Linked DNA regions of Alligator mississippiensis. The protein of the gene in region 1 binds, or shares a complex with, the protein of each later gene. Links are inferred from orthologs where the notes say so. Each region holds a gene or a part of one and is shown on either strand. Other genes may lie near its edges. The genes, in order: TGFB3 and TGFBR2.

The links.
Region 2: the proteins of TGFB3 (region 1) and TGFBR2 are in contact, whole or in part, in a crystal structure (PDB 9B9F), measured with the Homo sapiens proteins. The link is inferred for Alligator mississippiensis from reciprocal best matches to the Homo sapiens genes TGFB3 and TGFBR2. Residues at the interface, in NP_001316868.1 of Homo sapiens: Arg325, Lys331, Trp332, His334, Tyr390, Tyr391, Val392, Gly393, Arg394; in NP_003233.4 of Homo sapiens: Leu50, Phe53, Asp55, Ser72, Ile73, Thr74, Ser75, Ile76, Glu78, Val100, Asp141, Glu142.

Annotation. Positions count from the first base shown.
Region 1 is NC_081825.1:261,765,088-261,775,673, forward strand, and holds the start of TGFB3 (transforming growth factor beta-3 proprotein), read right to left. Parts: upstream 4,021-10,586; 5' UTR 3,741-4,020; coding exon 3,380-3,740; intron 1-3,379. UniProt on the Homo sapiens protein: Transforming growth factor beta-3 proprotein: Precursor of the Latency-associated peptide (LAP) and Transforming growth factor beta-3 (TGF-beta-3) chains, which constitute the regulatory and active subunit of TGF-beta-3, respectively.
Region 2 is NC_081828.1:143,383,857-143,393,413, forward strand, and holds the start of TGFBR2 (TGF-beta receptor type-2), read right to left. Parts: upstream 3,848-9,557; 5' UTR 3,744-3,847; coding exon 3,692-3,743; intron 3,048-3,691; exon of another isoform or gene 2,852-3,047; intron 1-2,851. UniProt on the Homo sapiens protein: Transmembrane serine/threonine kinase forming with the TGF-beta type I serine/threonine kinase receptor, TGFBR1, the non-promiscuous receptor for the TGF-beta cytokines TGFB1, TGFB2 and TGFB3.

The DNA.
Region 1 (10,586 bases):
TACAGGTTAGGAACAGGTAAAAGGATGAAAGTGGTCTGGCACTGCTACCTCAGGTCTATCAGCGTGGATGGTGTAGGTAGCCAGGCATGGGGACAGCACTGTAGTAGCATCACTGGCCCTCTGGAAACAAAAATCAGGAGACTTTCAAGCCATTGGTGCCCACCTGCTCTCCATGCACCCACTACTGCATGCAAGGATGGGGAAAGGATGAAAGCAGTTTCTGCTGTTCACCCCAGGGACACTGCACTGGGAGGGCCTTGGTGACTGCCTGAGGCAGAATGCCCCGCTCTCTTTAGAAAGGGAGACCTTCCCTCTCAGGTGTTTACCTTGGGCAATGGCCACAGGAAGCACAGCAGAAAGAGCATTCCTTCACCATGCACAAGGGAGGAGTCTGCTCCTGAACATCTTCATCCCTTTTCCTAGAACAACCAGCCTCTCCCTGCTGCCCCCTTAGCTCCTCAGCTGTCCTCATTTTTTAGCTCATTATCCAAGCCAGTGAGTTTGTCTGGCTGATGAAGCATTAGAACAGGTGGGAGGGAGGGTGGGGTGGGGTGTGCGCGGACACACACACACACACACACACACACACACACACACACGTTTCAGACTTGTTTGTATTAGCCCAGGATCCCTTGATGGATTAAGCTCTCCTCCCTCCAAGAGGAGACTGGCTTTTGGCTCAAAATACAGTCTGAGATCACCTTCTGGCAGAATGACAGAGTCATGGGAAAGTTGAATCCCAGCCACTTTTGAAGACAGAGGATCAAATTCAGCCCTGATGTAGGTAGGTGAAACTCCACAGATTGCTGTAGGCTCTGCCTGCTTCCACCACAAGCAACTTTGATCCTCTCTCCTATGGTGACCCACTTCCCAAGATGTCTCTTCCTCTGGATAGTGGGAGATGCACTGCCCACCCCTAGGCATTCACAGGCACCTTGATCTCTTGAATATGGCACTCTGGCACCACATGGGCATCCTGACTATTGATGGGGAAAGTTATGCAACAGTAGTGCTAATGACAATAGAAGACTAGCAAGCATTCAGCAAATAAAGAGCCCAAAATTGTGGAAGCTTCCCCTCATAGCATCCCAGTACTTGCCTGCAGCATCCTTTGCTAATCCAGAGCCCTCTTCTCACTCCCAGCTGTACCGGTGTACCTCATTACTGGTCTGCCTCCTCTCCCCATTTTGTCACATTGTTCCTCCACTTAGAGGAGGTCCCTCTTCCATTGTGCCCCAACAGTTCTCCTTCTGCCTTCCCAGACTCAAATCTACTCTTCTTGCATGATCTTCAGCTACCCAGTTGTGCAAGCCAATCCTATATCACATCCAAACTTTGTTTTCAGTGTGTTTACCAGACTGTAAACTCTTTGGGGTAGAGATCTAATCTTCCCATAGGCATGCAGAGCACCATTAATGGTGCTTTAGCAGTGTATAAATACTGCAATAATAGTTTGCTAATGCCCTTTGGTCCAGCCATGCAGCCTCCCCTGCTCTGAGTCCTGCTGCCTCCTGAGAAGAGAGCTAATCATCTAACCATATGGAGTGCAGTCTGCTAGAGATTAAGTGAAATTTGTTGCATTATCACATTTTAACCTATATTCCAACTCATCATGTGTCAAGATTAACATAAACCTGGCAGTCTCAACAGTATTCTGAGACTGCCTGCACTGCATCCCAGATCCTTTGGTAAACAGTACCCAGGAACTTCTGGCGATAAATCAGCATCTCCCAGGCTGTACACTACATGATATGACTGCATGCCCTCCGATGTCTTCCAGCACTGGGGAGCCCCAAGTAGTCGCCAAGAGAAATGCTCTGCAGCTACATCTGCTCTGAATCTGCAGTCTGCTCCGGGTTTGGATCTGTTCAGTTCCAGTCTCTGTATCTGCACCTGACTCTGCTTAGTAGGTCTGTTCAGCATCTGCTCTGCACCTGTACAACATGAGTCTTCCAGCACCTCCTTTCTGTCTGCCCTTGGCTGGAGGGAGGGGGGGGGGGGGGTGATCCAATCCATATCAGTGTCTGCTCTTCACCTGTTCAGCATCTTTCTTATTCTATGATCATTTTCCATCTCTTCTGCATCCACGCAGCATCCTCATTGACATCTCCATGGCTGCATCTCTCAGCAGTCGCCTTTCTTCAGCTTGTACATCTTTCTCTTCCCTATGCTAGGTGCATGCTCTGCCCAAACCAAAGGGCCATATCTGTCCCTGCCCAGGTCAAAGGAGTTTCACCAGGGATCAATCTGGTTCTGTGCTAGTGATTCTGTTGTCCACACTGAGATTTTTTTCCTGGTGGTTACAATACGTTCAGTCTATGAGACTCAAACCATCTCCTCTACTACCTTCTTTCTTTTCTTTCCTCCTCTTCTCTCTCCTTCAGTCTCCTGTGTATTTCTCTTCCCCTCTCATCTTCTCCAGGATATCAGGGCTCTAGACACTGGCTTGACTTACTGCTTCCTGGCTGGAGTCTGGGCTGATGTTAGTCTAAGACACTGAAAACCCATCCCTTGCCTGCCCCATTGCCAGGTCTCAGGATCCTCCACCTGCTGCAGGGCTGCTAACCATCAAGTATTTCACTTTTTTTTTTTTAAATCATTGTTTTAACAATTCATCTTCAACTTTTCTGCGGTCTCCTGCCCCAATGCTTCCACTGCTTCTCTCCAGACTTGCCTACACACTCCTCCTGGACCCCCCAATGGCTTTCTAGTCTGTTCTCCAATGACTCATTTCACAGACACACACACACACACACCCCCCTCTACTGTAATTACAGAGCCCACGAGGACACCTGGCGGCAGCACAGGGAACGAAGCTGCTCCTGTCATTCTCCTTCCAACTCTGCGGCTCCAGGCTGTGGAGTTTCTTAGCGTCCACTACACTTCTTCCCCTCACGCTGTGCTTTGTTCCCGTTGCTGTCAGCCCTAGACTTGCATGCACAGAGATGCACAAAATGCATGGCTCACAGCTTTGGTGAGCACAGGGGGCCCAACTGACTCTGTCTCCAACTCCAGACCAGGAAACCTGGCCACCTCTTTCTGCTCACAGCTTCCCTGGCTCAACAAACAGGCACCGCCACCACCCTGTGCACACAGGGGGCACGCGAACAACCTCAGGCTCATTCAGACACTAAATCCTGGATGGTCTTCTCCAGTCTCCTGTCACTGGCAAGCCATGGAGACAGCCTCCTCCCTTTGCTGTGCCTCTCTTACACACACACACACGTCTCCCAGGCGCCGGGGGCACACAGCGGGCACAGCTGCGGCCGGCAGCGTCCCGCGCGCCGTGGGGACGCGCCGGGGCACGGGGTTCCCGCCAGAGGGGCCGGGCCGGGCCAGGCCGGGAGGGAGAGCAGCCCGCCTGCCCCCGGGAACTCACTGTGCTCGGGCAGGCCCTGGACCATGTCGAACTTGTGCACCTCCTTGGCGTAGTAGTCGAACTCGGAGGCGTCGCGCGCGCAGGCACCAGCACCGCCGCCGCCCTCCGCGGCACCCGGCGCGGCCCGCAGCTCGTCCAGCAGGTCGCGGGTGCTGTTGAAGAGCGCCAGGACGTGGAAGGGCACGTGGGCCGGCCCCGCCGCGGCGGGCGGGCTGGTGAGGCGCAGCTTGCTCAGGATCTGGCCGCGGATTGCCTCCACCCGCTTCTTGCGGACGTGCTCCAGGTCCAGGCTGGGGCAGGACGAGAGTGCCAGGCTGACGCCGGCCAGGCTCAGCAGCAGCAGCGCCCGCTGCAAGCGCATCTTCCCGGCCCGGGCGGCGGCCCCGGCGGCGGCCCAGGCGGCGCGGCTGGGCTCGCGGGCGGCTCACGGCTGCCGGGCGGCTCCGCGCCTCGCCGCGCCGGGCTGCCGCCGCACGGGTGTGCGCCGGGCGGCGGGGAGCGGGCGGCGCGGCCCGGCACGGCGCATGCTTCCCGGGCTGTGCCTCCCTCTGCCGGGGCGGGGGCGGGGAGGGCTAGGCGGCGGCGCTGCCCATCCCCACGGGCCGAGCCCTGGCCCTGGCCCCGGCGCACTACCGCCCCGCGCCCGCGCCCGCCGCTTTATAGCGCCCTCCCCGTGACGCGTCGGGCTGGGCTCCCGCTCCCGGCCCGGCCCCGGTTGCACAGTCGGCGGGGCAGCCCCGGGGAGACACCGCCTCCCCGGGCATCGCTGCCGCCCGGCACCGGCTCGGGGGGCTCAGGAGCCTGCGGGGGCTGCGGGAAGGCCGACGGCGCCTCCTGGTGGTGGGCCCGGCTGCGAGCGCGGAGGCGGGGGAGCTCCCGGGGCCAGGCCCCTTGCGCCGGCTTCCTCCCCCGGCCCCGCGAGGCAGGGACGTGCCGGGGCCGCGGAGACGCAGGTGGGGGCCGCCCGGGTCTCTGAAGCCCGAGCAACCCGCGGTGCCAAGACCCCCCTCCCCGCACGCCCAGCTCCTCAGTGCCTCAGGTCAGGAGGATGCGTGTCCCCCGCTGGGCTCCCCTCGGCCGCCCGCACCCCGGGGACCGATGGAGGCTTGCCCCACGCTCACAGGCACGTGGGTGTTGGCCCTCCACGAAGGTGGTTTTCGAGGCAGCTAACTCACCAGGGAAGCCCTAAATGGCCAAAAGAAAGTCAGCAGGGATTTCTTACGTACTCCCTCTCCCCAGACAAGCGCCAGGAGGTCACAACATGAAGCCAGCAGGTAGGAAGTTTAAAATGATTTCCACCTGGCATGTCATTCAGGCGGGGAGCTCGTGGACACCAGATACTGTGGATGCTGCCAATTTAGCAGACTTCCTATGCCTGACAAAGGGTGGCTGCACCCGAAAGCTTGCTAAGAACTTTTCCCCAACTACTCAGTTGGTCTAATAAAAGCTGTCACATCTACCCAAAGAACCTCGCCTCCCTATGTCCTTAGACCAACATGGCTACAACCACAAACCCAGCAAGAGGGATTGGACAAATTCTTGGAGGAAATGGAGCATCAGTAGCTACTGAGCATGGGAGTGAGGGGTACAGCCTCTGAATCAGCTTGCTAGCCCTGAAACACTGAAGGCTGCAAATAAGAGAGAAACCCTGGTCATACTGTCCCTTACAGCATCTGCGCTCTGCCCCTGTGTGACACCAGAGACTGAACAAGATGGACCTATCGTCTGACCCAGTAAGTGGTAGGTCTTGTGCTCTGCACAGGCCCCAAACCTCTGTCATCCTAGCAGAACAGGGCCCGGATGCCTGTCTCCTGCCTCAACCTATTTGGGATTGTCAGACACAGGAGATGATAGTGCCTTTCCGGTCAGCCTCATCTGGAGTAGTGTGTGCAGTTCTGAGCTCCACATTTTAAAAAGCATGTGGAGAAGTTAGAGAGGGTCTAGAAAGGACAACAAAGATGATAAAGGGCTTGGAAAGCAAGTCATATAATGAGAGACTGAAGGAAGTAGGCATGTTCAGCATGTGAAAAAGATGCTTAAGATGGGACATGATGGCAGTCTTCAAATACCTGAACTGCCATAAAGAAGAGGGAAAATACCTCTTCTCTCTTGCCGCTGAGCATAGGATGTGGAGCAATGGCTTGAAGTTGCAGTAAAGTAGGTTTAGATTGGAAATCAGGAAAAACTTCATCACTGTAAGAACAGTGGTGCAGTGGAATAGACAGCCCAGGGCAGCTGTGGACTCTTCATCACTGGAGGTGTTCAAGAAGAAGTTGGACAGTTGCTGGTCAGGGATGATCTAGGTGTAGCTACACCTATGTTCTACTGTGGGTATTTCCCATGCTTCTGGGCATTGCTGATTGCCCCCCCTCCTCCCCCCCCCTTTCTGCTATGTGTCAGTGTTTTTTTAAGCTTCCCTCAGAGGCACTGGATGTTGGCTACAGCCAAGGCTGGGGAATTTGACTGGGGCGTGCCAATGCTCCTGCTGGGGCTAAGGCCAGAGGTTTCTGACTAGAGCAGCATTTCTCAACCCGTGGGTCACACGGATATATGAAAGGGTTGCAAACAAGCTTTAAAAATGGATCAACACACTTAAAAAATGGATTCTCCTTTGAAGGAGAAAAACATGGAAAATCATGGCTTTTCCCTTGCAGGCTGGCAGAGTTCCAGCCTGCAAGGGGCTGCTTGGGGGCCTCACACATGCCCCCCAGCCTCACACACCTACCCCGTGCCCCACACACTGGGGGGTTGGGGGCAGCAGGTCGGGAGTGAAGGGCATTGGGTCAGGGCTGGCCATTGGATTTTACAAATGGGTCCTGGTACAAAAAATGTTGATAATCACTGGAATAGAGGGTCTTCCCCTTTGCTCAGGGTCAGAGTGATTCTCATATTTGAGGTCAGGAAGGAATTTTATCCCATGGTCAGATTTATATGGATCAGGTTGGTATGGACTGTGGGGGCTTTTGCCTTTCTCTGTGGTGGGGTGTATGGCCCTCTCCCCAGGAACTCTTTAAGTATATATTGACAATGTTTCATGGAAGCAGGATATTGGCTTTACCTGTGACAGGTTAGGGTGTTAGGTCTGTGTTATGTCAGGGTAAATGGTAATCTTACATAGAGTTTATCTTATGGATTGTATAGAGTGGTTTGGACAGGGATATTCCCGCCTCATTCAGGGGGTTTGGCTTGATGGCCTCTAGAGGTCTCTTCTAGCCCAACTTCTCTCTGATTCTATGACATGCTCACAACTGTATCTCCTGAGAGGCTTGAATCTCACACACACACAGCAGGGATGCTCTAAGCATGCCTAGCATCAGCTGACAACACTGATGTCCATACACATTATGGAAGTCCTGGCCACTTTTAGTCTCCACTCTTGCAGCTAGTCAGTGGCTACAGCAATCCCCCAGGAAGTGGGAGCCCTGGGTTCTAGGCTGAAAATATTCAAACATACAGCTCTTACTTTCCAGGAGAGTTCCCCAACCACCAAACTATAGGCTGTTTGTTGCTTGGGGAAGCACTTGTCAGCTCCTCCTGTTGAAATAGTAACACCAGAGCAAAGAATTCAGGTGTCACTAGACCAGATAGATGTAGTCTAGTGATTAGGACACTCACCTGCGGGGAGTCCTGTGTTCTGGTTCTAAGCCTGTTTGTATATTTTATTCAATGGCTGCTTAATGGGAAACACAGAAACTGGCCTGGGAGCAGAGAGGAGGGATCAGAAACTAGGACTCCCCTCCCCTCACTGCCTTCCCCCTTTAAAAATGCCTTCCTGACTGTACTGCAAAATCTTGCTGCCTCTTTCTGAGCTCATTAATTCAAAATGCTTTGCCACACAATGCCTCAGCCTCAGGAGGAGTTGAGAGCACTGCTAGCAGAGGACAGCCTAATGCTTGGGGCATTCGCTTGGCAGGTGGGAGCTTGGGGTTTGAACTTTCTTAAAGCCTGAGAAAAGCTTAGATTCCATGTTTGCTCCTTCCTGAATGAGTGCTCTAGCAGCTGGGGACATATGCTTAGGTCAGTAGTTCTCAGCCAGGGTGCCAGAACACCCTTTTAATTTAATGCAGGAACTGGTTCTGCCTGCGTTAGGTTAAACCTGCTGCATCTACTTCTAGGTCCATTTCCACGCAAGCCTTCTGGAAACAGAGGCACATGGGGCAGTTCCACCTGGCAGTGGCACTGGCAGTCTGTGGATAAAGTATGCAAGCTGATACTTTAGAACAAAGGTTCTCAACTAGGGTGATGCCAAATTCAGAAAAGTTTTGGAGGGAGGCATTAGGTGTAAGAAGGCTGAGAACCACTGGCTTAGGCACTTAAATGTAGGTGAGGGTTCTAGACTGTGAATCTCAGTTTGAGATAGGAGTCTAAACCCTGGATGGCATGTCTACATGTTCATTAATGCGCAGTAGTTCTTGCACATTTAGTTTAGTACTTTCTTAATGAAGTACTAACGAAATGTGCAGTAACTCATACTACTGTGCAGTGGTGCCAGCAAACAGTTTTTTTTGTGATGCTTACTGCGGCAGTAGCCTAATAACACTGCGCAGTAGTGTATTAGCATGGTTGTTGACTGGCATGCTACTGCACAATGTTATTAGGCTACTGTTCAGTAAGGGTTTTGTGTAGACACACCCAGAGTGGAGGTCAGCCTTTTTGGCAGGTGTGCCACAGTGTAAGCTCTGGTCCCCAACAAGTGCCATTCCTGACTCCTTCTCCGCCTGATCTATTACTCTGCTTTCTTCTTCCCTTGTGTTCCCTTTCCAAACTGTTGCTCTGCTTTCTGTTCCCTTCCCAATCTCCCATGTGCCACGCACAGAGGCTGCCTGTGCCTCTTGAGGTATATGTGCTGTAGGTTACCCAACCCTGATTTAAGACACAGCTCTGTCTGTGTTTCCAGGAGGGGCATGCAGGACCAGATTGCAAAGCAGCTACAGCAGGAGCAGACACTTCTGCCTGGATCAGGTTAAACCTGGCACAGCCACTCCTAGCTAAACACATGAGTGCCCAGTCTGACATTGTGGCCAAAAAGGTTTGCACAACATTTGAATGTTATAAAGAGGGGCATCTCACACTGGCTTTGGTAGGGTTAAGGAGGATGTGTAGCTCCAATAAGCCCTGCTTTGCTACACCTTCAGGTGTCAGGTGGAGAGAAAAGAAAAAAGGAAAAGCTTGGCTGGCTGAGTATGGTAGAGAGCAGGTTCTTGCTGTGCTTTTGGTTGTGAGAAAAGCATGGTTGCACTATAAGTTTCATAGACATTAGGGCTGGAAGGGACCTCGGAAGATCATCGAGTCCAGCCCCCTGCCCAAAGGGCAGGAAGTCAGCTGGGGTCATAGGATCCCAGCAAGATAAGCATCCAGTTTGCTCTTGAAGGTGTTCAATGTAGGTGCTTGAACCACCTCCGGTGGCAGGCTGTTCCAGACCTTGGGGGCTCAGACAGTAAAGAAATTCTTCCTTATGTCCAGCCTGAAACGGTCTTGTAGTAGTTTATGACCATTCGACCTAGTCGTCATCCCTTGGGGCGCTCTGGTGAACAAACGTTCACCCAGATACTGGTGGTCACCCCTGATAAACTTACAGGTGGCCATCAGATCACCCCTGAGCCTGCGCTTTTCCAGGCTAAAGAGCCCCAGGGCTCTCAGCCTGTCATCGTAGGGTCTGCTTCCCTGACCTCTGATCATGCGCGTGGCTCTTCTCTGGACTCTCTCAAGCTTCTCCACATCCTTTTTGAATTGTGGAGCCCAAAACTGGACGCCGTACTCCAGCTGCGGCCTCACTAAGGCCGAGTACAGGGGGAGAATGACGTCCCGGGATTTGCTTGAGAAGCATCTATGGATGCAAGCCAGCATTTTGGTCACTTTACTAGCCGCAGCATCGCACTGCAGGCTCATGTTCATCTTGTGGTCAATGATGACCCCCAAGTCTCTTTCTTCCATAGTGCTAGCCAACATAGCACTGCTGAGCCTATAAGGATGCTGCGAGTTTTTCTTCCCAAGGTGGAGAACCTTGCATTTATTGGCGTCGAACATCATCAGATTCTCGTCTGCCCACTTGCTGAGCCTGTCCAGGTCAGCCTGGATCACCCGCCTGTCTTCTGGTGTGGATGCTTTGCCCCAAAGTTTGGTGTCATCGGCGAACTTGGCCAGTCCACTTCTGACTCCAGTGTCCACATCATTAATGAAGATGTTGAACAGTATGGGTCCAAGGACAGAGCCTTGGGGGACCCTGCTGGTCACAGGAGACCATGATGAGTGACTTCCATCAATTACTACCCTCTGGGTCTGACCCCGGAGCCAATTTTCCAGCCAGTGGATCGTGGAGGACCCAAGGTAACAATTGGCCAGTTTCTCCAAGAGGCGATCATGGGAAACCAGATCGAAGGCTTTTTTGAAGTCAAGATATATGACATCAATCTCTTCTCCCTTGTCCAAGTGATAGGTCGCCTGGTCGTAGAAGGAAATGAGATTGGTCAAGCAAGACCTACCCGCAACAAACCCGTGCTGGCTATCTCTTAAGATGTTGGTATCGGCCAGTCCATTAAGGATGGCCTCTTTAATAAACTTTACTAAGATCTTCCCCGGGATAGAAGTCAGGCTAATGGGCCTATAGTTAGCCAGATCCACTTTCCTCCCTTTCTTGAAGATAGGCACCACATTGGCCTTCTTCCAGTCTTCGGGCACTACACCAGAGCGCCAAGAGTTTTCAAAAATCCGTGCTAGAGGCTGGGCTATGATGTTCACCAGCTCCTTGAGTACCCTGGGGTGAAGATTGTCAGGGCCAGCTGACTTGAAGGTATCCAGCTTCTCAAGATGTTCCTTCACGAAGTCAGCATTAATGGAGGGCAGGGGATTACCCTCACCCAGACTTCCCTGTCCTGTAGCAGGCATGGGCGTCCCATGGGACTGATGAAAGACCGACGCAAAGTACCTATTTAATAGGTTTAAAAGTTAGAGACAGCTTGTTGATTAGGTGATCCTTCCTAGCTGGAATACCTGGGCCTGGGGGTACTGACTGGTCAGCTGTTTGAAAATAGCCCTTGAAGGAAGATGTGTCCTGCAGAATATTTTCTAGGTCGCTTATTTTGAGACTTGATACCCTGAAAGGATAAAATGGAAGTCTTGTCCAGAGGGCTATAAGTACCACTGCACTGGATTCTGCAGGATATGGTGAGTAACCATTGGAGGATTTGAGGGCAGATGACCAGTGCTC
Region 2 (9,557 bases), on another chromosome or scaffold:
ACAATTTCATGCTTTCAGATAGTTGGTGATAAGGGTGCATGCAACTGATATCAGTTTACCCTACTTTATATTTATTGGATATTACACAAGTCTTAGATACATGTTGAAAATTTATCTTACAGCACTAAAACCAGATCATGCATTTACTAGAGAATGCTTCACTTGGTCTCAGAAACAGTCCCATTACACTCTGACATAGTAACCATGCTCAGTCTCATTTCTACACTAACTAAAGCAGTGCTCATTTGTAATAAACAGATTACTCAGAGGCAAGGAGGTAGCAAGAATGAGGTTTAATTTCTTAACTCTTATCACAGCCACCCACTAACAGAGTTGAACATCAAGATTAAGAACTCACAGTCAAAAAGACTGAGGCTGAATCTATTCAATCTTCTCAAGTTAGTCTAAGCTGTATAGATTGAGCCGATAAACAAGTGAACAGACATTCACTTTTGATTCTGGAAATACAGCCCCATGCCTGCAGTGGCTCAGGTCAGAAGCCGGGGGTGCTAGAGTAAGACTCCCTGCTTCACTGGAGCAGACAGCTTGGGCCAAGGCTAGCCCTACAAGGTGGGGTTGGGGTTGGCAGAAGAGGTGCAAAGCATTCTGGGAAGCCAGGGGACTGCAAGTCTACTTGAATCTGGACAGGATCTGGGACAGGAGTTCAATAAACTGATTTAACCTAAATCAATTAAGTCTGATACTACATCCATCCAGATTTATCTTAAACCATTTTGGCCATTTCTAATGTGGCTTATGTGCACTGAACTTCTGATTTGTTACAGATCTGAACCAGTTTCTTATACTGGTTTATATGTAATTTCTGTCCCTAGCTCAAGACTGCCTGAATATTCTGTAGATTAAGCCCATTCTTTCTACTTATTTGGGGCTATTTCCATCTTCTCCGATTAGCTTTATTCAAGAAAATACCCACCCATTTTCATTTTTCTACTGACCAAAAGCAACTTTACATCCTATTCTCATTATTAGGTAGAAAAAGAAAATACATACTTGATGAGCTCTGAGGCCAATAAATAAATAAATAAATAAAAATTAAGCAAACTAGATGGAAGAAAATGGCACTGACTCTTTGAAGGTAGGGCTATAAGAGATTTCCCATTTTACAACAGAGGGACTGATTCTGCACTGGTTTGTACTACAAAGACCTATGTAGTCCTTTACCTCCATACAAAACTAACCACATACTACCTGGTTTGCACTGTTTGGAAGCTGCAAAGCATCTGAAACTTCTGCAATATGCCAAGCTGAGAATTCAGGGAATACCAGATGCCAGAATTGCCCTTTAGGGTCATAAGCAGGTGTGAATAAGTAACAATAGTTCAGAGTTGAATTCTCAATTATGCTGGAGGCCAAAAGTGGCTCCAGCCAAGCCCAGGATTGTAGTGTCAAAAAGGTGGCTGAAAGCTTTGGATTCTACCACCTCAGCAGAACTGAAGGATACTTTCAAAGCATACTGCATGTGTAAAGCACTTTCAGACTATAATTTTTCCTTTGCATGAGTATTCACATTTAATACCCACTTTGCCCATATGCAAATTGCTACACAAGGTGGCAGCACTAAAGAATAAGGTCCACAGCTTCGGTTCTGCTCATTTACAGCAGTGCAAACTGGAGTAACTCTACTGAAGCTAGTGGTGTTGCAGTGGGGACACAGAAGTGTAACTGCAGAAAGAACACGGCAGAGCTGTGATACAGACACTACAAGGAAAAAGTCCCTACACCACAAACGCAAAAATACCAATTTAAAAATATCCTGCAGAGGAAATCTGGTCATGAGAAACTTCATCAATTGGTGCCACAACAACACCGTGTTCTCCTTTCCTCCCCTCCTCCCCCAGAAGAGGAACTATTATTGGATGAAGATTTATGAATATACATTTTTAAATCATATTAAAAAGCTCCATCCTCAATCTTGTAAACAAATATAATATAGGACTACTCATACAAAACCTTTTCACATTTAACAACTAGGAATTATCGTTTCCTACTGTTATATTATAAACAAGTTTGAAGCTATAACAATTCATCCTGGAAAAAAAAAGTGCTTGGTTTTAAAAGAACACACTCTGGTTAAATATAGGTTATAAGGTATAATCTTTTACAAAAGTTAAGAGCTAAACTAAAATCAAATGTATCCATTAACCTTTCAAAAATTCAAATTGAAACACATTGGGCCAGATCCTGAGCTTGTGTGTATATTTGTATAGCTCCACTGATATCAAGTGACCAATACCAATCCGCAATAACTAAAGATCTGCCTCATCATTGTCTAAAGGAAGAAAAACTACAGTTTACAAAATTGGGTTAATGCAAAAGAACTTGAAATAGGAACTTACTGGAAAATGACTTTCAACAAGTGCAACGGATTACTTTATTTTCATTGCCCAAGAACAAATATTATCACAGTCATCACAATCATCACTTATTAGGTACCAAAAACACATCATCGTAAAAAAAGTTCAGGCAGAAGGCTGAATATATCAGGTGCAAAATTCTTATGCTACGATAAGCCTTCATCCATACGCTGCCTTCTTTAAGATACAAACTTTATATCATTGTCACATCTGTCCCAAAAACTGTCCAGGTGTGCAGTTCTATTAGCTTTGACAAGATTACTCACTGTGCAAAAAGCAACTCAAGTATGTACAGCATCAGCAGTTTTGGATGATTGCTAAAAGACGATAAGGAACAACGGCTTGGTGGAGTGCTTATTTACTGATCAGATACAGGCCAATTAAAGGAACGTGAGGAGAGAGACAGATTCCAGAACCGTTCAGCAGTTTACACAGTGATCATGTTACTTGAGGACCTAAGGATAGGTATTTAGTACCTTAATACGTGCCTTCGGTTCTAGGTATCCACTTGATTTATAAAAGCTGTTTGCAAGTTAAAAATCCACCAGCCTCTGGCCCCTCAGCACTTCCTTAGTTTCTGGACCTTGCAGTACTAACAGGCAACCCTGCTTTCACAAGCAGGTTTTGGGGCCTACTCCCCTGTGCGCCTACAGGAGCAGCTTTTGACATGCGAGCAGTCATGCTGAGCTTGCCTGCAGAGGTGTAGGTGTAGGATGAGAAACCCCAGACTACCAACTTCTCAAGGCAGGGGCCTTGTTTTCCCCTCCACTGGCCAAGCCCCTTGGCAGACCTTTGGCAGGAGACAAATCCATCTGTGACTAGCACTAGGAGCTGGAGGGGCTTAAAAACATCCAGGGGAGTGTTATCGAGTTGGCAAAGGGGGGTGGGGTATGGCTGTCCAATCCCGCACCGCAGCCGTTTTGGGAGCGAAAGCAGATCCCAAGTCCTCCCGAGGGCATCTGCCACCACTTGACAGGTAGCGCCTGGGAGACGCAGCTGTCCGCTTCACCCCATGTGCACCAGGGCCCACACGCCGCCCCAAGGAGCAACCACCTCAGGGATGCAGGCACAACACAGGGAGCTGAGTTGCCTTCCCTGGGCACTGCTGAGATGCCCCGTCTCCAGCAGTGCCAGGAACAGCCAAGCCGCCGGACAGCTGGGCCGAGGGGGCATTCATCCCCTCCACTCCCCTGCCCTGGCTGGGAAGGGGTGCCCAGCAGCGCCCTGCCCTCCACGGCGCACGGCTCCTCCCGGGGGCCGGGGCGGGCACCGCGCCTCCCCGCCAGCGCTGTCAGCCGGACGCGGCGGACACTCACCGCAGCCCAGACAGACGTGCAGCAGCAGCAGCAGCCCCCGAGCCGGACTCATGGCGGGGCCGGGCCGGGCCGGGCCGGGCCGGGCCGAGCGGGAGGCCGCGGCGGAGGCTCGCAGGCTGCCGGGGAGTGAGTCACTCGGGCGCTGCAGGGGAAACAGGAAATCTTAAAAACTTCGCCAACAGCTGGGCAGGACTTTCTCCCTCGCACAGTAGTTCCTGCCCCCCCAGCCTCTCCCCGCTCCGCCCCGAGCCGGCCCCTCGCGGCCGCGGCAGAGGGGGGCGCCGCGCCAAGCCGGGCCGGGCCGCGGCGCGCTCCGTCAGGTGTGGGCGCGGGACCGGCCGGGCCGGCTCGGAGATGGAGGCAGCGGGCGGCTTGGATGGACCGGGCTTTCCCGCCCCCTCCGCCAGTCTCGCGGGGCTCCCGCAGCGCTCCCCGCCTGCCCGCCGCCCAGCCGCGGGGTCAGCGAGGCAGGGCTGGAAGGGACCCGCGTCCGCCCAGCCCCAGAGCGCGGGGCCGTAGAGGCAGGGCTGGAGGGGACCTACGCACCCCGACCCGGAGACCACAGCATCATCGCAAATGGGGGCTGGCAGGGACTAGTCCACCCCCCTGCTCAGAGCAGGACCATCCCCAACTAGTTCATCACCTGGAAGAGAGGGGCAGGGCTAAAAGGGACCTACCTAACTACCCCCATCTGGAGATGACAGGTCGTAGAAAACGAGAGGGGGAAAGGACCTCAGGATTGGAAGGGACTAGTCCATCCCCCTGCTCAAAGCAGGACCATCCCCAACTAGATCATCAACTAGAATAGAGGCAGGGCTGAAAAAGGCCTATGTACCCCCCATCCAGAGACCACAGGATCATAGAGGCCGGGCTGGAAAGAACCTACATACTCCCATCCCGAGACCACAGGATCATCAAAAATGAGGGTTGGAAGGGACTAGTCCATCCCCCTGCTCACAGCAGGACCATCCTCAACTAGATCATCAACTAGAATAGAGAGGAGGGGCTGAGAAGGACCTACATACCCGCATCCTGAGACCACAGGAACGTAGAGCCAGGGATGGAAAGAACCTACATACCCCCATCCCGAGAACACAGGATTACAGAATAGAGGCAGGGATGGAAAGAGATCTACATACTCCCATCCAGAGATCATAGGACCATAGAATAAAGGGAGGACTGGAAGGGACCTCCACAGCTCATCTAGTTCAACCCCTCGCCTGAGGCAGGCTCATCCCTATGCCAACCGCCTCGAGAACCTTGTTAGAATTCCTGCCATCACATGTGTGGTCATATGGGGCTCTTTTGGGCCCAACAGCATACAAACAGTCCCTGCCCCAAAGGCCTGATGAGTGAGGGGTCCTCTGGCAACATGTAACATGGTGTCCAGGGGCTGGACACAAAGAACCAAGAGGCATATGGGCAGATCTAAGGGGGGAGGGGGGGCATGCAGCTGGTGAGGTGCATCAGCACAAATAAAAACCACACATGTTTTTCTCTGGTTAAAAATAAACCGGATGCTTTACTAATACTCTCAGGGCCTAGGGCTGGATTACTCATTTTAAGGTCAAAGCAAAAGCAAAAACAATTTGCTGGACTGTGAAAGAGGAGTTTAATGACCAGGAGCAGTGAAGAGACTGGAGAATGGCAGACATAAGGTGAGCTTGAACATCAAGACCATTAAAAAGAAGAGAGAGTTGTTCATTTCAGGAGGATTAAGAGTTTAGAAGGGATAAAGGGATGAAGTAGATTATGAGTCATGAAGTCAATGGACTCATTCTGCAGTGCCTAACTAGAAGTGCTGTTGCCACTGCCAGGCAGTTGGTTTTAAACGTTGCAGGGGGACCCAGAATCTAAGGGTTGTGCAAGTGCATCATGGCACCACCCCTGGGTCCACCACTGAAAAGGTCTCTTCCAGGCCTGTATTTCCATGTTAACACCTGAGCTGTTTCTCTGTATAGGCCCAGTGAATCCCCTGGTACCTCTGTAGCAAAACCCGCAGTTTTTCTTTTTTTTATTTATTTTAAAATGCATTCCCTCCCCTTCCCCAACCATTTCTGACTTTTTCTCTCCCTCTCTATTCCCTATAGAGAAGTATAAGTAAGCTAAGATGTAGGATAAGCTTTAACATTTTATTTTAGGTAGTAAGTTTTATTTTTCTCTCCCCTCTGCAAATAAGTTCCCTACTATTTTGATATCGATACCCACTGTTTTATAAGTGATAATTATTATGTTTGTACTGCTTTTATATTGTGTGATTACTGTTTTAGGCCTATATATGTAAGTTAGCATAAGTCATGTCAAGTTTCCATTTTGTATGTCAAGCCTCCGTCTTGCGTCCTCTGCCTGAGCATCCCCTGTGTTGCAACTGTATGATTCATGTACCCCTCCCATGTCAATTGGTTCCAGGATGAATGAGAGCGATTGGGAATGAGTGAAATACAATGGTAGCAGGCCTGTACTGTCTGTAACGACTAGGCCATCACCTCGCATTGATTCATCCAGGAACCATGGACCTCACCCAGGAACAGAGACAAGAACCCAACATTTGAAAGACAAAAAATCCTACAGAACTAGTAACTCTACCATTGTACCCCACCATTACAGACACACGAAACTGCACATCCCTGCATGGAGCACACATGCTCAGTAAACCAGGGGCTGACCCTTACCGGGGCATGCCTCCTGTCACTAGGGTCACACAGAATCTGCTCCTATAAAAAGGGGGAGTGAAGACAGACCCCGTGGGACGCCCTCTCCATCTGGACCAGCACCATGCCACACCACCTATCCACCCAGAGGCCCTGCCGACGACCCCCCCTCTGGACAACACCTGCTGGACAAAGACCCCTTTCCAGCCTGGATAGGTAGCTATCACCCCCTCTTCAACCAAGGACTTGGACTCCACTTCTCTTCCCCACCTGGACTCCAACCCTTCCACTGAGTCTCTTTCTCCTGCTGCCATTGTGAGTGCGTGTGTGTGTGTGTGCACACGCGCGCGTGTGCATGTGCATGTGTGAACCAATAACTTCATGGGACTGTGTAGTGTGTTGTCTTGTTAATAAAACTGTTATTTGGACCCCTAAGTTGGGTTTTGCTTTACTAGGGTTTGGCCCTGCTCCAATCTCTGCTCCTCGCCCCTCTAACTTCTGTCTCATTTCTCCCTCTCCTGCTTCTGGCTCACTGCCACCTCCAACACTTGTCCTGAGCTCCTCTCTGCCTCCAAACCCCCTGTTTCTTTGCCACTGTCTTATTCCCTCTGCCTTTTCCTTTTCCCCTGAGCATCCAGGTTTCTGCCTCAGTTTCTTTCCTGACTGTCGCCTCCTTGCCACCACTTATCTGCCTCCCCTGCCCAATATCTCAGCTGTCTGCCTCAGTTTTCAGCCCCAGTCTACCTTAAGTAATCCTAAGCCTTGGTTCCTCAGCCAGCTTCTCTGTAGTCCACTGGTTCTACTCCTGGTTCTGGCAACTTTCACTCCCTGCGCTTTAACTCTCTCTCTCTCACCTGAACCTTCCCCCAAGTATCCCAGGTACCCCAAGCACACACATATACACTGTACCATCCAAATTAGGAATTTACCTGTGTGGATGTGTATGTGTGTGAACTGGTGAGTGTGTGTGTGTGTATATATACATATATATATGTCATTGTGTGCATGATATACAAATTAGTGATCTGTGTCTAACTTTTGGGGTGTATAGTGTATGTACTTGAATTGGTGATAGGTATGCATGTGCCTAGGCTGGTTTGGATGTGTATGTCCCTGAGCTGGTATTGTGTGTGTGTGTATGCACCCAATTGATTTGTGTGTTTGTATATGTGCAATTGTGTCACACCCTCCTATCTAACAGTGCAATATTGAGATCCTGAGAGTTGGACTGACCCCACAGGGCAACACCTCCACATGTGACAGCAGAGTAGCTCTACCTGTGCATGAGCACACTGTAAGATCGGTGTTGAAAAGACAAGACAGAACAGGCAGGTGAGAGGAACCAGAGAGAACAGAGGCTGAAGTAAGGGTAATAACAGGAAATGTTAGTGCAGACTAGCTGTGTACCTAAGGTGTCAATGTAACAAGCCAATCTCTACTGGCAGCTGCAATCCCAGCAGCTTGTCATCCTTTTCTCATAGTTTTCATTTCTCACGCTTGCAAAGATGGTTGCAAAATACCTGAATATTTGGCCAATGTTAGAATCATAGGAAAACGGGGCTGAATGGGACCTCCAGAAATCCACTAGCCAAATAGCCTGTTCAAAATAGGATCATTTTTGTCTAAACTAGCCAAGACAAAAAAATCTCTCTCACTGGCACTTAAAAATTTCCAGTGATGGAGACTTTATTGCGTTCCAAAACTGAAAAGAATTTGTGGTTTTTAAAGGAAAATTTTCAGAAAGAAACAGGCAAACCATTTTCCTGAAAACTAGGGTAAATTGTTAATAAGTCAATCAACTTTTTTTTCAAGCTAAGCTAGTTATGTAAAGATACTTGGCAGAATTTCATATCTTTTTTAAAATGCGAAATCTACATGCACAGGCACAAAAATAACCTGAAATAAAGGATCATATTAATGAAAATGTTTCGTGATTCCTCCCCACCCCGTGATGCCACCTTACCTAAGCACAGCCAACAAACAACCGAACAGGAACTCCCTGCAACAAGTATTGCAATGGGCGGGTAAGTTTAAGATGTATTTTACCAGATTAGGTGAAGGCAAGCAAACACCCATGTAACACTGGGCCACGTAGCAATCTCAGCCATCAACTACATATCCAACAGGTCCTGACTTTGCGATGGCTAATGCTCATTATGGGTCACTGAGGTAGATGAAATTCATCTGCTTCTTTCTCTAGCCTAGAGGGACTGTGGGCTCTCCATCACTGGAAATGTTTAAGCACAGGTTAGACAATTTTGTTATTTAGGATGGTATATAGGATGATTTAGAAATGATCTGGTTTTGAACAGGGTATTAGGCTAGTGGACTTTCTGAAGTCCCATTCAGCCCCATTTTCCCTGTGATTCTAACATAGACCAAATATTAATGTATTTTGTGAAGATCTTTGCAAGAGTGAGGAATCAAAACTAGGGGGAAAGGATATTTTGAGGTTGGAAGCAATGCAATGCAGCTGTTCTGTATAGTCTATTGAGCAGTTAGTGACCATAAACTCTACTGAGAGATTGAACTAACTAAGGATTGTAGCAATAGCCACTCTTGTCTCTAGAAATGCAGCCTCCAGATATAAAGTAATTATTTTACTGTGTATTTTAGTATGTGGGCTTTTAAATTTCACTACATAACTATATAACTGAGAGCAGAGTAACTAGAAGCACAGGAATAATTTGAGAGTCTCTGTTGTAATTTTGATGATTCAGCTGTGTCTTGATTACAGAACTGGAAGTGGCATCAGACCAGGGTATTTGAGACAGGGATTGAGCCCGTGCATGTGCATAATGCTGAATGTCCCATATCAGCATTTATGAATTGTTCAGTTATTTACATAATGTAATAGTTCTAGAATTTAAGCTTCAATATCCCATTTATGCAAATTTGAGTTTTAATAACTCCCTAAATGTATAGCTACATAGCTACACAGTTGCAGTTTATGGTGTGGATTCTTATAAACCTCTCAAACAGTTTTTTCTTTTCTTCTTGTTTTCCCTTTATATCTAGTCAAGATGCACTCGTACAGCTGCCACCTGTCCTAAGATGAGGAAAAAAAATTGCCCGAGTGACACCAAGAAGAGAGTTGAGGAATTTTTATCTAATGTTGTGTACTATTGCTGCTGTATAAACTAGCCATGTTTAGTAACTTCACTAAGAATTAGAATTTTTAATATGTTTTTCCTTATACATTGTAGCAATGTAGT